Linked DNA regions of Lepisosteus oculatus. The protein of the gene in region 1 interacts with the protein of each later gene in a biochemical or structural test. Links are inferred from orthologs where the notes say so. Each region holds a gene or a part of one and is shown on either strand. Other genes may lie near its edges.

Region 1 (8,007 bases):
CCGGGCTCTGAGAGGCTCTGAGTGTGCTTCACAATGCCCCAGACAGCTCTCAGAGTCGGAATTGCTGGCACCCCACAGCAGAAGAGGCAGGTCATCAACTCTTTAAATGCTTCCTAATGACCTCTTCACTCCTGCCTGGAGCTGTGAAACGCAGTCTCATTAAAACACCAACGCGCCCACTGACAGCACTGTTTTGAACGTTAGGGACATTCAGCTCTGAAGGTACCCCGACGCTCTGTTTAATGACAATGATCTCTGATTGAACTTGAACAGAGAGGGATTCCTGCTGGAAAAGAAATCAGCTTGGCATCACAAGATACTAAAAATCCCAGGCAGAACTGTGGAGGGTGCAGTCGGTAGGTAGGTACAGTAGGTCCCTTTTCAGGCCTTCAAGGCCCTTGGGGAATGGGTGGCAAGGGCCACCATTTTTCTTTGACCACTGGAGGTGGAGGTGAGGTGGTCAGCATCACACTCTGGCCGGCCTGTCACCCCCAGAAGGATTAACCCCCAGTACTCACTTGGAAAGCAGGCTGAGTGGACCTGGGAGTCATCTGGAAGGAATCAGAGCAAGCTCTATCACTTGCCCCTACCTGGGATTGAACACAGGTACCCACCTTCCGGACAGGAGCTAGACACCCTTGCCATCTCAGCTACCACAGCTCCCCTGACTCTGTATTCTCTCTGTTTTCTGTTTGCCCTGTTTTTACTGCAGAGGGCAGGGCATCATCTGATGTAGCGCAGCTGTGATGTAAGTTGACGTGAGTGTGGCTGTGATGTCATTGATGTAGCGCAGCTGTGATGTAAGTTGACGTGAGTGTGGCTGTGATGTCATTGATGTAGCACAGCTGTGATGTAAGTTGACGTGAGTGTGGCTGTGATGTCATTGATGTAGCGCAGCTGTGATGTAAGTTGACGTGAGTGTGGCTGTGATGTCATTGATGTAGCGCAGCTGTGATGTAAGTTGACGTGAGTGTGGCTGTGATGTCATTAATGTAGCGCAGCTGTGATGTACTGTAAGTTGATGTGAGTGCAGCAGTGATGTAATTAATGTAATTGATGTTCAATAGCATCTGGCATTTAGAACAGTATTTCTGAATCTCTCTCTATATCCACAGGCAAGGTCTTGCAAACCTTGATTTAAACTGCAAACTGAATGTTATCTTGTGTCACTCATTACAAGAACCCGTTAGCCAATGTGCTATAGCACAGATAAATCAGATGATTTATAGATGAAAACTTAGAATTCAACCATCTGCTAATGTCATAGACGTGCATATAAGACAGAAAAACATTATTTTGTTTTCCCAAACCCCAGACCACATTGCTGTATTTGCGACTAGTAGTGAAATGTGTATCTGGTAAATTTTCGCAGTAGCCTCTTGTAGAGTCAAACGCTGCCACCAAGTGGTGAAATACTGGAACTGCGCGACGGCCGAGCCGGGCTTATTCAGACGCGCCAATTCATATGGAATGGAATTAACAATGTTTTAGAAAAAAGTCCCATGTGGAGGAGGAATGGGAATAAAGAAAGGAAATAGCAACAGCTAACAATTCCAAGAGAAAGTATTAGTAAATATATCCTTTTAATTTGAAAACCTGCGTCCTCCAATCATCATACGTTTTTTTACGTTCCAGTGTGCAAGCGCTTGTTGAGTGTGACATCTGGAAAGGTGGCGAATCCTAGGACACGCAGAATCCCTGATCGGAGCCTTGGGAAGCAGCAGGCTCTCTCCGGGCTCAGAGGGCGGTACGCCAGGCCCACTTCCTGCTTCGCCAGCCCGGGTGCCAGGCAGGCACACCTGCCCTCCAGATCGGTTTCAACACGGCACAGCTCAGCCAGATAATAATAATAATAATAACAATAATAACTGCTTACACTTATATAGCGCTTTTCTGGACACTCCACTCAAAGCTCTTTACAGGTAATGGGGATCCCCTCCACCACCACCAGTGTGCAGCCCCACCTGGATGATGCACCAGTCCTCTCCCCACACACCAGCTCTCAGTGGGGAGGAGAGCAGAGTGATGAAGCCAGTTCAGAGATGGGGATTATTAGGAGACCATGATTGATAAAGGCCAATGGGAAATTTGGCCAGGACACCAGGGTAACACCCCTACTCTTTTCGAGAAACGCCCTGGGATTTTTAATGACCACAGAGAGTCAGGACCTCGGTTTTACGTCTCATCTGAAGGACGGCGCCTGTTTACAGTATAGTGTCCCCGTCACTATTCTGGGGCATTAGGACCCACATGAGCCGCAGAGTGAGCACCCCCTGCTGGCCCCACTAACACCTCTTCCAGCAGCAACCTTAGTTTTTCCCAGGAGTCTCCCCTCCAGGTACTGACCAGGCTCACACCTGCTGAGCTTCATTGGGTTGCCAGGTGTGAGTTGCAGGGTGATATGGCTCCTGGCCATATAAAACTATGCCCCCTGCTGCTGAAGGTACGAACCACAGACACCCAGAGCTTGAACCAGACAGTTCTCCCGGGACAGAGCCACCGAACACAAGACGGGACCCAAACAAGAGGGGGGCCTGACCTGTCCAGCCGTTTCCTGAAAGAAGTCAGGCTGGCACCTGGATCCAGACCTTTCCTGACCTGCGGCTTCTTGCTGTCTCTGCCTGGCGAAAGGCCTCCACTCACCTCTGTTCAAACATGAGCGCCAACTTCCCTGCAGCGCTGCCATCGACACAGCCGGTCTCCGGCACATACCCGCTTAAAAAAGGACGTTTTCCGATGCATTCCGATTAGCCCTTTTCCCCCCGCAGCGATTTGTTAATGTGATATTAAAATGAGACCGACACGCTCCAATACAAAACACACTTCTGTGACACAGCACCTCAACGACTGGAGGGATCCTGTCTTTCAGAACCTCACCGGCCCTCCTGGATGGACAGATGTTTCGAACGTCCGAGTGTCCAGCCTGTCAGCAAAACATCCTCATTGCTGTTACTGTCTATGACACCGGCAGGCCCTTTCTTCCTGCCCTTAACGCCGCGACGGGAGGAATTGACCGGCTGCTAAAATAAATCATTTGACCCGCCAAACGTGCGCCCACGTAAGAACCGAACTTGGCAGCTTTCCCAGGAAATGCTCGTCCCGAGCAGGACGCCTTTCTGACACGAGTCGGAAAACTTCCTGCATGATCTCCCCCCCCCCCCGCCCCCCAGCGATCCAGCGAGGAGAGAGCGGAGAGCCGAATCCGCAGTGCCTCCCCCCCCCCACCACCCAGAGACAGCAGACATCTGATAGTACACAGAGAGGTGCTGGCAGACCAAGACTCCCCTCAGTCACAGACTCTGCAGGACCCACTCACCATCTCACCAGCTCCCATCGCGCCTCTGACGGCGGCTTCTTCGCTGCCATCTCTCTCCGCTGCGGCGCCCGGGAGAGTGCCCTCAGATGGCCCTGCCTGTCTCCAGCTCGGCTGCGGGCAGCGGAGAGGGAGGGAGTGTGCGCTGAGACCAGTGGGAGGGGGGGTGGGTGTGGAGTGATGCTGCAGATTCCCACAGTCAGCGCTTCAGCACTGAACCCAGTGCCAGAGCAGCAGCTGGCACAGTCGGCATCCTCACCAGCCGGGCGGGAAGAAGAGGGTCCCAAGAGGGTCCCCAGGGCCCAAGACAGACCCAGGCCAGCGGCACAGCTACAGTGAGCCCTGGTTCGTGGGCTAGACGCCACAGTCGGGACCCTCCTGAAGCTGTAAGGACTCTCAACATGCTCCAGCCCGCACACAACTGCTCAGCGTCCTGCGTGAGCAGCTCCTGAGGCCTACAGAGGGACCCTATGATCCAGGCGCTGCTGGTTCGAGGCTGGGCCTACGACATGAGCCAGGGAGCGGCTGAGGGACAGCGAGCAGGGTGGGGGTCACAGGGGGCGCCTGGCCGAGAGTCGCCCCTCGAGTCAGCGCTCGGCCCCCGGGAGCAAGGTGAGCTGGACACTCATCGCCTGCTCTGACTGCACCCCCCCGAATGAGAGAGCCAGCTCCCCGAATCTGTCCCTGACTTGGAAGCCTCTGCAGCTCATTGAGGGAGCAGTCTCTTCTCAGGCAGCCCCCCTCTTGACAAACACCGCACTCACCCGCAGAACATGGCACTGAACGAGCTCAGTTCACTGCCTCCACTGTGTCATTAATCATAATAATAATAATGGTAATAGCACCCCCAGGTAATGGGGATCCCCTCCACCACCACCAGTGTGCGGCCCCACCTGGATGATGCACCAGTACTCTCCCAACACACCAGCTCTCAGTGGGGAGGAGAGCAGAGTGATGAAGCCAGTTCAGAGATGGGGATTATTAGGAGGCTGTGATTGGTAAGGGTCAGGGGGAAATTAGGCCAGGAGTCTGGGGTAACACCCCTACTCTTTTCGAGAAACGCCCTGGGATTCATTCAAACGACAACACCTTTTTTCCGCAGTATAGCGTCCCTGTCACTATACTGGGGCATCAGGACCCACACAGACCGCAGGGTGAGCGCCCCCTGCTGGCCACACTAACGCCTCTTCCAGCAGAAACCTTAGTTTTTCCCAGGAGGTCTCCCATCCAGGCACTGACCAGGCTCACACCTGCGTATCCTCAGTGGGGTGACAGCTGTGAGTTGCAGGGCGATAGTATGGCTGCTGGCATTATTCACAAGCAATCCTTTATATAAAAAATTGATAAAGAAATAAGCTCATTTTAGATTCATGTTGCACAGTAAATAAAATGGTCTATAACTTTTCAGATTGCATGAGCTTAACATGAGCAAAGCTTTGAGAGAAGAGTAAGTCTATTTTATTGTGAATGACCAGCGGTTCTGCTTGTGATTCTCTTTCGAAACAAGAGCAAGATGGAAATGTTTCAAAATAATACTTCAGAGGTTATTTTCTAGGGATAATAAGGAAAATTGTATGCACAGACAGTCACTTGAGAGATTCTAGGCTGACATGCTAGACTCAGCCTCTTACTGTTAACAGGAAATCAGTTTGTGAGCGTTTCAGCCTGCTGAAATATTCAGTGGTTTCAGTTTCTGTTCCAGAGAAGTGAAAGAGAAACAGTCGAGCTGTGCAGACATGGAGGAGCACACGGGGGACAGCAGGCTCTGCAGGAACTGGTGAGATCCACTGACTTCTCAACACTTTGACACCGTCTCACAGCTGCAGGCCAGGCCGAGACGCCTGCGTGGGGCCAGGTCTCTCTTGGAGCGGTCAGGAGTTCAGGGGAGGGGCTGGGGAGACGCTGCTGGAGGCGAGGCAGTGTTGGAGAGGGGCGAAGGCTCTGTGAGAAGGCATCGCTCTGGGCTCAGTGGAGAGAACAAGCTTCGCTCTCCGGTGTGGGGGGCGAGCTGGCGCTCGTCTCTCAGCGCTGGGAGACAAAACTGGATCTGAGTGCGGGGGGGTCGAGTCGGGTCGGGGGGGGAGCCTAGGATTGGGAAAGTTTTCATCTTGCTCCACTCTGTAACAGTAACAGAATCGGCAACCTGACGTACAGACAGCTCCCAGTACCGAAGCTTCGAGTTCGGGAAAGCTCAGGAGCAGCTGGCTGGGGGAGGTTTATACAGTTTTAGGAGCACCTATTGAAAAACAAGTGTTATGGAGTACAGAATGGCAAAATTCCTGTTTCCCTGTGGCAGTCAAAGAGGGAATGATCTTCCGAGAGTGCACGATTTGGCAGCGCTAGGGGAACGAGAGCTCTATTGCACTCCTGCTCCCCTGTCAGAGTTTCAGCTGTGAGTGAAAATGTAAGAGCTGCTTACAGAGTGTGTCTTGGGTGGGGCGCACAGTGCATGCTGTGCTCCACTGGTGCATGAAAAGTCTCTGGACAGAAAGAAATGATTGTGCTCTCAGCCGCAGGCCACCTTGTGCAGGATGCAGGGCCTGACACAGATGCTTGTATAGAAGGCCAAAATTGATATCAGGGACTGGCAGAGCCAGGAGAAAAGGGAACAACTACGTCAATATGAAATCTGTTTTGGTGCTGCCAATCCATTAGCAAAAGCATATTCTGCGTGTGATGGGTCTATGGTGATAAGGAACTCTGTGCTCAGTAACCAGTTGTCAGACTTTTTAACCCCTTCACCACCCCACCCCCTCTCTCCTCTGCCCCCTTGGTCCTGTGCAGTAAGAAGGAGGTGGCCGTGTCTAACTTCGCCCTGCACGAGTCCCACTGCAAGCGCTTCCTGTGCGTGTGCCCATTCTGCGATGAGCCAGTGCCCAGGGAGCAGATGGACCAACATCGGGACACCGAGCACAAGCAGGTCAGAGAAGGGGAGGCTGCAAAACCTGCACCGCACACCAGGGGGCAGTCAAATCACCACTGAAGGCTATAATAATAATAATAATAAGAATAATTGCTTACACTTATATAGCGCTTTTCTGGACACTCCACTCAAAGCGCTTTACAGGTAATGGGGATCCCCTCCACCACCACCAATGTGCAGCATCCACCTGGATGATGCGACGGCAGCCATAGTGTGCCAGAACGCTCACCACACATCAGCTATCAGTGGGGAGGAGAGCAGAGTAATGTAGTCAATTCATAGAAGGGGATTATTAGGAGGCCATGATTGGTAAGGGCCAATGGGAAATTTGGCCAGGACACCGGGGTTACACCCCTACTCTTTTCAAGAAGCGCCCTGGGATTTTTAATGACCACAGAGAGTCAGGACCTCGGTTTTACGTCTCATCCGAAGGACGGCGCCTGTTTACAGTATAGTGTCCCCATCACTATACTGGGGCATTAGGACCCACATGGACCACAGGGTGAGCGCCCCCTGCTGGCCCCACTAACACCTCTTCCAGCAGCAACCTTAGTTTTTCCCAGGAGGTCTCCCATCCAGGTACTGACCAGGCTCACACCTGCTTAGCTTCAGTGGGTTGCTAGTTGTGAGTTGCAGGGTGATATGGCTGCTATAAACCTGCACATGTGCTGTAACAGGTGTCCCCTCCTGGACTGACATGATATATATATATACACTCTTCCAACCTCCACATATCAAAACACATCAATACATATAAATATCTAAAATACACATCTTAAATATTAAATACACATAACACATGAATATTTAATCACATGTTAAATGAAATGTTAAGGCAACAATCTTCAGTTCAGGAATTTAAGGTTGAAATAGTTTAGAGAGGAAAATAAGTTTGCAGGCTCCACAGGTCTGAGTAGCATTTAGCTAGTGTCTACAGACTCACCAACTGGAACTGCAGAGCAGGAGGATTCAGGGCCCGAATCCTAGCTCGGTTACACATACCCTCTACAGCTGTGACCCACTGCGTGGAGTCACTGGGATGGTGCTCTATACTGAGCAGCAGCTTCAGCTGACAAGATTCCTACAGATACCTATATCCTGGCACTGTAGCCAGAGGACAGCGTGTAGGTAACTCTCTACAACAGCACCCATCAGTCTTGTACAATACAGTATATTCACTGCAGAACAAGAGCCCGATGAGGCATTCCTGTGCAAGGCTGTTTTGCGTGCCTTTCAGGAGGGCCTGGGGCAGCCCAGCCCTTGTCCGAGTGGGTGTTCAGTTTCTGTCCCACTGTGGGAGAGCTCTGACAGGTGCCAGTGAGGCGCCCATCAGAGGGGCACTTCTCTGCTGCCATGCGGTTTGCTGTGAGCCCAGGAGCAAGCAATCAGACTGGCGCATCAGCTTGGCCAAACCAACACACACTAGAAGCTCAGGACAGAAGTGAAAGCAGGATGTATTGTTCCATCCGGCTTGCGCTTCCTGTTATGTCATTCGCGCCACGCCCCCCGGAGGACTCATCGCGCTCAATCAACTCCCTCACATTCCAGTGCAGTCTCTAATTAAATAATCAGACACACCCTCTCCCACCTGTCTACTTAAACCAGCCTGACACACCACGCTTGTTAATGTGTGTCTCTAGTTTTACAGATTCTGACCTTGGCTTGCTTACTGTGTCTACCAGAACATTTCCGTTCAGAGGATAGGGTCCTTAGACACGAGATCATTACACTGCCCAGTTCAACTCCTAGTGAGCTTCCTCGCGGCTATTTT
Region 2 (7,700 bases), on another chromosome or scaffold:
ATAATTTCTTCACAGATAGTTTTACTTTGCTAACCTGAATATGCATTCAATTTCGTTTTAGATAAGATACTGTTTGAAACCTACAATTCATGCATGCACATTTTGTAACCGCTTTAAACCATCTAAATGGTTTTAAACAATTTCAATTGCTCAAAACATCTAAAAATCTGGCTTTAAAGCTATAAAGCCTTGATCTTGATCTTAATTTTATTAAGCAAATTTGCTTCAGTGAAACTTTTTCTACTATGTATTTGATTTGTTCTACAATTCCATGATCTAACCACAGCTGTCCAACCTGATCTCATTAAGCTAGAATAAAAACAAGCAAGAGACTGACAGTTGCTAACTTTGGGGTTCAATGATGATTTGTAGGTTTCTAAATGGCTTCATCCAGAAATGAAGCCTGAACTATATAACAGAAAACTAGAAAAGCATCACTATCCGTTCACTCGCCATGCTGCTGGGCACCTTGTCTTCTGGCATCACGTACCTTAATGCTGCGGAACTCTTTTTTCCAGGGGTACAGCAGCAGGTTGGTACAGATGGTCTCCAGGGTGGCAAAAGCCGTCTCTAAGGCCTGCAGGCTGGAGCTCCTCAGGGTGCGTAGGGCGTTTTCCGCCACCTCATAGAACCGAACGAGCCGGAACCGCTGAGCTGGATCCACTTGGTAGACACTGAGTAGAGCCGTGGCAGCCGCATGGAGCCCAGTCTCAACCGCCACCTGCTGCCCATCGCCTCCTTCCTCCAGTCTGGACTCCAGGCACTGCACATACCTCTTGAACAGGTCCTCTCGCAGCTTGGGATCCATTTGGAGCAGCAGGCTGGGTCACTGCCTGACTCGCATAATCACCCCCTGCTTCAAAGACTCTCCAAGACAGCTGGGAGAAGGCCTGCTCAGACACGCTGCTGCGTCACAAGTTGCATGGTAGCCACATTTCTTCTGTTCAGCAGGAGATGCTGCACCTTGAATTTCCCATGGGGATCTTGGACTTGGAACGTCCCGGGCTGTTTCACTCATGAATAAGCAGTGAAACGGGAAGCGGAGTGCACGTTCACATTGTGTGAAGCAGGTTATCTGAATCCAGAAATCCAAGCTCCGGAGGCTATGCCAAGTAAACCCCGTCTTCAGTGCAAAGTATGGGAATAACAGGCCGCTGAGGGATGACCGACCAGGCTAACCATCCGCACGATTCCCCGGGCTGCAAGACAGAAGAAAAACATGCCTAAAGAAACTACTTAAAGAGATTTTTTTTATTAATGTAACAGCCAGTTAGGATTCAATCAACATGTCAGGTTCTGCCTGATCTCAAGCACATTTTACTCAGCTGCTATAAACTGCTTGACTATACATGAAAGTACTGATTTATTTACAAGCAAGCATTCCCTGCACACTGTTGAATACACACACTGGTAACGGCAAGGATGGACACATTTCGGCTAGTATTTTTGTTTATAGAATATCTTGAACACACATTTTTTCAAGGGTTCCACCGCAGCAATATTAAAAAAAAAAAACCCAACACCTGGGATTAATGCAGATCTGCAACATGTCCGCCTTTCACACTGAGAATTTGTTACTGGCAGAAACTCTGTAATGGAGGAGGCAAATCTAAATGGTTCCGCAGGTGTGAAAGTGTGTGTACACTGTGTAAATCAAGCCTAGATAAGAGCCCACGACAACACATTTTCTGGAAAGTACTGTAAATCTTAGAATAGGTCAGCGACATTACAGAGCAAGGAAAAATCTTACAAAGATTTTATAGAGGCACATTTTGTAAACGTTGGCAGATACAGAACAACAATTACAGGACAGGAAAAACATGGAACTTGTTTTTTTGTTGAAAGACTCATGGCTTTTTAAATCTGCTGTTTCCAGATTTTGTGGATTTAAAATACACCTCATAGAGGTGTTCCTGATGAGCACTGTTACTGAAAACATGAAGTGGTATAATAAAGTTAAAACTTTTAATCTTTTTCAGATAAAAAGTCCATTGGTACCATTGTATTAAAGCACAATGTATTTATAACCATCTCCTTAAGCATAAAGTGTTTTTCACTTTTCTAACTATAAACCCCCTGATGTCACCTTAAGTGCTAGAATAATTTACAAAAGCCATCACAATATTTTGAATCCCAAGGAACATATTGTCTTTAAAACATAAACACATAACCAATGTGCAAATATCTCCTGCTTCTTTTAAGACATGCACAACAAACCTCAAACTACAACTGATGTCAATGTTTCAGGATGCATCCCAGTACTATAGCGAGCAAGGCAGAAATCGTTTGAATGACTGCGAGCATCACATCAGCCACTACGGCTGTTTTTTGCTAACGTTTAGTGCTGTATCCTTGCACATAACAAAACGGGGCTTTGCGGGATGAATTTGAAAGGGCAATCCGAGAAACATCCACAAAAGGTCAGTAAGGGTTGTGTGATACCTACTGTGATGCTCCAGGTTTCACTCCAACTGGGCTGCCCACTGCCAGGGCTGGGTAAGCTAAGGACCCTTGTCCATAAAAAGACCGTTCACATTGAAATTCTTCAAAAAGGGGACCTCTGCTGTTTCGGACTCCCTGCACATTCTTAAGTCCAAAAAAAGCAAAGGATTGTGTGCAGGACCTGGAGGCTGGTCGCAATACGTGCATCGCCTCTCCACCACACAACGTGTAGGCGTCGGAGACGCCTTCTGTAAAGGCCACGGGCGGAAGAACTGAGCATTTCCCTCGTGTCAGACTTTACTAGGGCTGTATAAGGCTCCACACTAATCATGTCCTTTGCATGGGTGTTTGATTCCAAATATCTAGTTTCTACGCGTGAATTTTCAAAATTTACTTCAGCCTCGCTTATTGGTTGAAACAGTCCAAACCTTTACTAGAAAATTTGGGGTGTATGAAACTAGCCTATCGCCTTAACAATCAAGCAGATACGATTCTGCAATTGCAGGCTGTCGCTGTTTAACTGGATCGGTTTCAGGGAGCCGAGATAATTATCTGAGCCCATCAACCTGGCACATTTTATTAATATTTTTAGGCCGTTGAAAATCTCATCCAAGATGTGCGATACTGCGTGTGTGTGTGTGTGGAAATGTCTCCAATTCTGGCGAGCGTCAGTGGATGTGCATGCAATCCGTCCACGGAGCGAGTACACACCCCCAGCCCACTGAATCGCGGATATGACTTTCTCACTCGCCCAACGAGCGGAGCACAGTAACGCTAAAAAATGCAGAAAAATTCATAGCTAACAGATGTAAAACGAAACATCTTGGGGGAGAAAAACGTCACCTTTAGATAATTCCCGAACACGAAAAAAAAATCTGATTTATTTTATACATGTTTTTTTCTATTCAAGGAAGCCAATAAGACTGGTTCCGGTTTTCCACTACACGCACACCCTCTTCCTTACTGTCGTCTAGAATGATGACGCCTGACCCATCAAACATCATTTTTACACGGAGGCAAAGATCATTTCTTGACTTGTCAGTTACTCGGACTCGGCCCCCATCAACAGAGTGGTTACAGCCGCCTCAGTGAATCTACATACACAGATTATAAAACAACGCCTTGAAACCCTAATGCGTACAACCAGCAACCAGTCCCTGCGCCCGCATGGGCAGAACTGCGTTTTGGCAGTCACAAGTCAAACAGACGCACTGAGAAATGCTTCATTTTAAACCAGCCGAGCTGTTTTTAAAAGACGCCACCATACTCTCCCCACTCCTTACCTTCGCATTCTGCTGGAAATCCCCACCGTCTCTCTGCGCATGCGTTACGTAGCTTACGCCACTCCACGTGCGCGTGAACTCAAAACCAGGCGCCGGGTATGCGCGCTATACAGAACAACTTTCTAAATAAAATGTTTATATACACCCCGACAAGGGTCGCGGCAACCCGGGATCTATCACAGAAAAAGAGGTCTGCTTCCTCTGGTCCCCAACCCGGATCCCGAGATTAGAATATCCTTCATCCCTCAAAGCATAGTGTTTCATTATAAACATTACCTGGTATTGAGCATTTGCTTAAAAAGAGTGCCTAATCTTTAAATAACAGGTACTTTTGGCTGATCTATATGAATAATTGGATTGGGTCTTTCCAGGACCAGGGCTGAAGACCCCTGATTTAGAGACAGTAGTTAACCCAGCCAAGGAAACCCACAAAGACATTGAACATTCAAACTCCACAGAGACAGAAACCTACAGTAGGTCATAAATGTGTGATTCCCAATGGAAGGAAACCACACTTAGTTACTGTATCTCCACACCATGATGCCTCCCAAACATTTATCAATTAAGATAAAAACAGAACGTTAACATTTTAGGAAGCATTGAGCATGCATGTTCAAAGTGATATTAACTTTCAAAAGCCGTCAATGAGAGTTTCAGGGAAACTGTCTTATATATACAGTATCTAGATGTTGAGAATTTCCCTAGAACAGAAGTACTGGCTGACGGTTTTGAGTTTAAAAGGCCATCCATAAAAAAAATGAAAATTCTAAATAAGATCATGTGTTCTCCTTAAGATATACAGTAATTACTCCTGCAGTATCTCCTTGAAAACAACTATTTTCATGAAATGGCAAAATATGTATATGCCCAGAAATGAACCTTAATCGAGGTGTTAACCCTGGCCAGGTATGGTCAAGAGCTACAATTTCCGCTTTGTCTTCACTTCGCCCATGTCCTAGGCAGCCGCTATGTAGTTTGCTGTATTCGCCCCTCCTACAGCAGGTTCAGAGCTGACGCGATATTCGTGGCATCTTACACGGAAAAGACAGGAACAGGAGCGGCTGTGCGAGAAATGGCGATGTTTGGGGGCTTAGATACTGTTCTTAAGAAGAAAACCACGGAGGATGGCGAGAGAGATATGCCAGAATTCGTGTGCCCAGTGTGTCTAGAGATTTTTGACCGGCCTGTTACAACACAGTGTGGGCATACGTGAGTCTCAATACATGGTCGTTTTTTTAAAAATATTTGTTTATATGGGTGGAGATATATCCACAGCCCATTTTTTTCTGTTTTTAGTTTTAGTTCTGTCATTTGCTTTAGTCTCCTAACCGTGATAATAAAACAGTGCCTGCAAAGTAAATGTATATATACATCTAACATTAGTTTTCATGTTTTGAAACAGGATTCAAAGCTTTAACATGCTCAATTGTCATTTTATTTAGTATTTTCAGGCTGTATGTTAGAATGATGAACGCTTGTACTTTCACTTTTGTTTACATCTAAGGAGTGTGCTGCATTGTGGGATATGTATTTTTTGTAGCGCTGTCAATGGTTTAAATGTTAGGGTGTTGTATTTGCAGTCGGACTACAAATCACAGAAACCCCCGTTACTTTAGGGTAATTTATTTTTAGATTTCGTCCTAAAAGAAAGTGTTTAAGGTTTCTTTTCAGCTTCCAGACAGCTTCATTTTTGTGGCGCGATAAACGCATAAATCGAGTGGTAGTGATTACATACAAAAATGTTGTTAGAATTTTAACTTTTTAAATAAAAATCTTTGGTTTATACAAATGTTCTCAACTTTATAAGTCTCATTTGTTTTTTTTATAGACCATCGCGATTTAACAATTCTCATCGGGCGTTAAAGAGATGTTAGGGTTATTTTTTTAAATTTTACGATGTCTTTAATTTCTGTACATAATTATTTACTTCAAAGCTCGCTCTGTTAACAGTTCCAAACATTTTACACTCGACAGATAACCAGGAATTCGTAATACCTGTGGTGCATGTTTTTCTCACTAATTGCACCCATAAGTGCAGACTCCCAAGTTCCACGTTTTTTTTAGGAATGAAGAAGGCCTTAGTTACAGATATTTCGTAATAGTCAAGTACGAGTATGTAGCTACGGATTCATCTGTTACGAGAAAAAACAAGTGAGTTATAGCTACTGTATCTACAGAAAGCTGGGACATTACTATAGAAACCTTCAAGTATTTGTTGTAAAATTAACAAAAAGGAATATATGAGAGCGTAGGCTACTTGCCCTGTCCCTCACAAATTCAGAGGTCTACTTGTTAGTGCTTACGAATGAGAATAGTCGTTCTCATTATCTAAAAAAAAATGGGTCAAGAAATTAGGACTCTGAAACGGTTACTGTAATGCTATGGGGGGTGTTAACGACGATTCCTGGCTTGTTTTAAACGGAAAAATAACCGTTCATGATTACGTTTTAATTCAAAGAATGATAAGTTCTGAAATGTAACAGACTGCATTTCTTGTATAGGCCTACATTTTTTAATTTTTAGATGTTTCCTTTTGGGAATGAGGAGAAGAAAACTGACCTGACTTTATAATGCCTTCTAATGATATAAAAACCCCATAATCTCCTAGGGGATTAAATCGAAACACAAGGCAACATTGTACCACAGCCACTGCAATGGCTAATATCCACAATTCCCTCTGTTCTGGCACTCACTTGGTTGCTCATAGCGGATCTGGAATCTCTTTGCTAAGTACTCTTGAAAGCCAAATCCAGAACTTTTTTCCCCCCACTGTGACTCAATTAATGCTCAGCTGAGCTTTTTTTATAATAATGCAGGAAGTCATGTGATGAACCAAATATCAGACTAGACGAGCTGGTACCTACAATGCAAGCTTCATGATAAGGTGATTCATGACCATGGGGGAAAAAACACAGCCAACAACAGGGTATCCCCTAATTAATAATGTCATACATTTAAAAAAAAAGTCAGCTGTCTGAAAAAAATAGTTCTGCTCTGCTTTTATAATTGAGTAAAAGGATACATTTATGATTTTTAAACTCACTAGTTGCTTATCCTTTAGGCAAACTGGTATCAGATTGAAATAGAGAGAATGAAGAAGTGCTCTTATACATGCACTGTAAAATAAAAGTATTAGCTGAAGCTTCCAGGGGTAAATTATTGTATTATACCCTTTGCTATCTAAATCAAATTTAACAAGGATATACTGTGATATAGTTTTATTAGGAATTTGTGTCGGCAGAGAGTCGATAAGAGCAAAACTCGGGAATAGACCAGACTGATGTATCTACTTGTTTATGTGCGATTAAAAATGTTTTTTTACACTTGAAATCTGTAGCCCACCCTTTTTTGCATTGCTGATTTTGCCCTGCACATATTGTACTCTGCATATCCAGTTAATGGTATTGCACATTGTGATGTATGATTGTCTATACTATCTATATAAATCTATACTTGGACCGTAATCACTACTGCTCGACACCTGCACTTGTCTGTTCCTGAGCATTATGTTATTTTTGCCAATATACTGCATATGCTGAAGTTGTCATTTACTAGGTTTTTGTTTGCTTTAGTGTGTTATCTGTTTTGTTCGTCCACCTTTTGCCAGTGATTTTAAGCAACTGTGTGACACACTGGATAAGCCCCACCATAAAACCGAGGCTTAAGAAAGGGGTCTGCTTTTTTCCCAAAGGTTCTGCAGCAGCTGCTTGCAGGAATGCCTGCGCCCCCAGAAGCCTGTGTGTGCAGTTTGCCGGACTGCTCTCAGCAAGTGGTCCAATGCTGTAGAACTGGAAGCAATCATTCATAGTTCGCTGGGAGCCTGCAAAGGCTGTCACACAGAGGTGAGCATTGTACTATCCTCTGGTGTTGAGGGAGAGAGGTCATACTGATGAAGGGGTATCGGCAACACTTAGGAACAGTGTATGCTTGATAACATGAGCCATTTTGTATTGATGTGTTTGTTCTGCGCTAAGG

What was found.
Region 2: the proteins of xaf1 (region 1) and rnf114 form a complex in vitro, tested with the Homo sapiens proteins (2 studies listed by BioGRID). The link is inferred for Lepisosteus oculatus from reciprocal best matches to the Homo sapiens genes XAF1 and RNF114.

Annotation. Positions count from the first base shown.
Region 1 is NC_090721.1:10,834,806-10,842,812, reverse strand, and holds the start of xaf1 (XIAP-associated factor 1), read left to right. Parts: upstream 1-4,995; 5' UTR 4,996-5,049; coding exon 5,050-5,090; intron 5,091-6,097; coding exon 6,098-6,233; intron 6,234-8,007. UniProt on the Homo sapiens protein: Seems to function as a negative regulator of members of the IAP (inhibitor of apoptosis protein) family. Inhibits anti-caspase activity of BIRC4. Induces cleavage and inactivation of BIRC4 independent of caspase activation.
Region 2 is NC_090711.1:6,397,685-6,405,384, forward strand, and holds the start of rnf114 (E3 ubiquitin-protein ligase RNF114), read left to right. Parts: upstream 1-4,691; 5' UTR 4,692-4,797; coding exon 4,798-4,934; intron 4,935-7,416; coding exon 7,417-7,567; intron 7,568-7,700. Other genes in the region: spata2 (spermatogenesis-associated protein 2), read right to left, coding at 491-808. UniProt on the Homo sapiens protein: E3 ubiquitin-protein ligase that promotes the ubiquitination of various substrates. In turn, participates in the regulation of many biological processes including cell cycle, apoptosis, osteoclastogenesis as well as innate or adaptive immunity.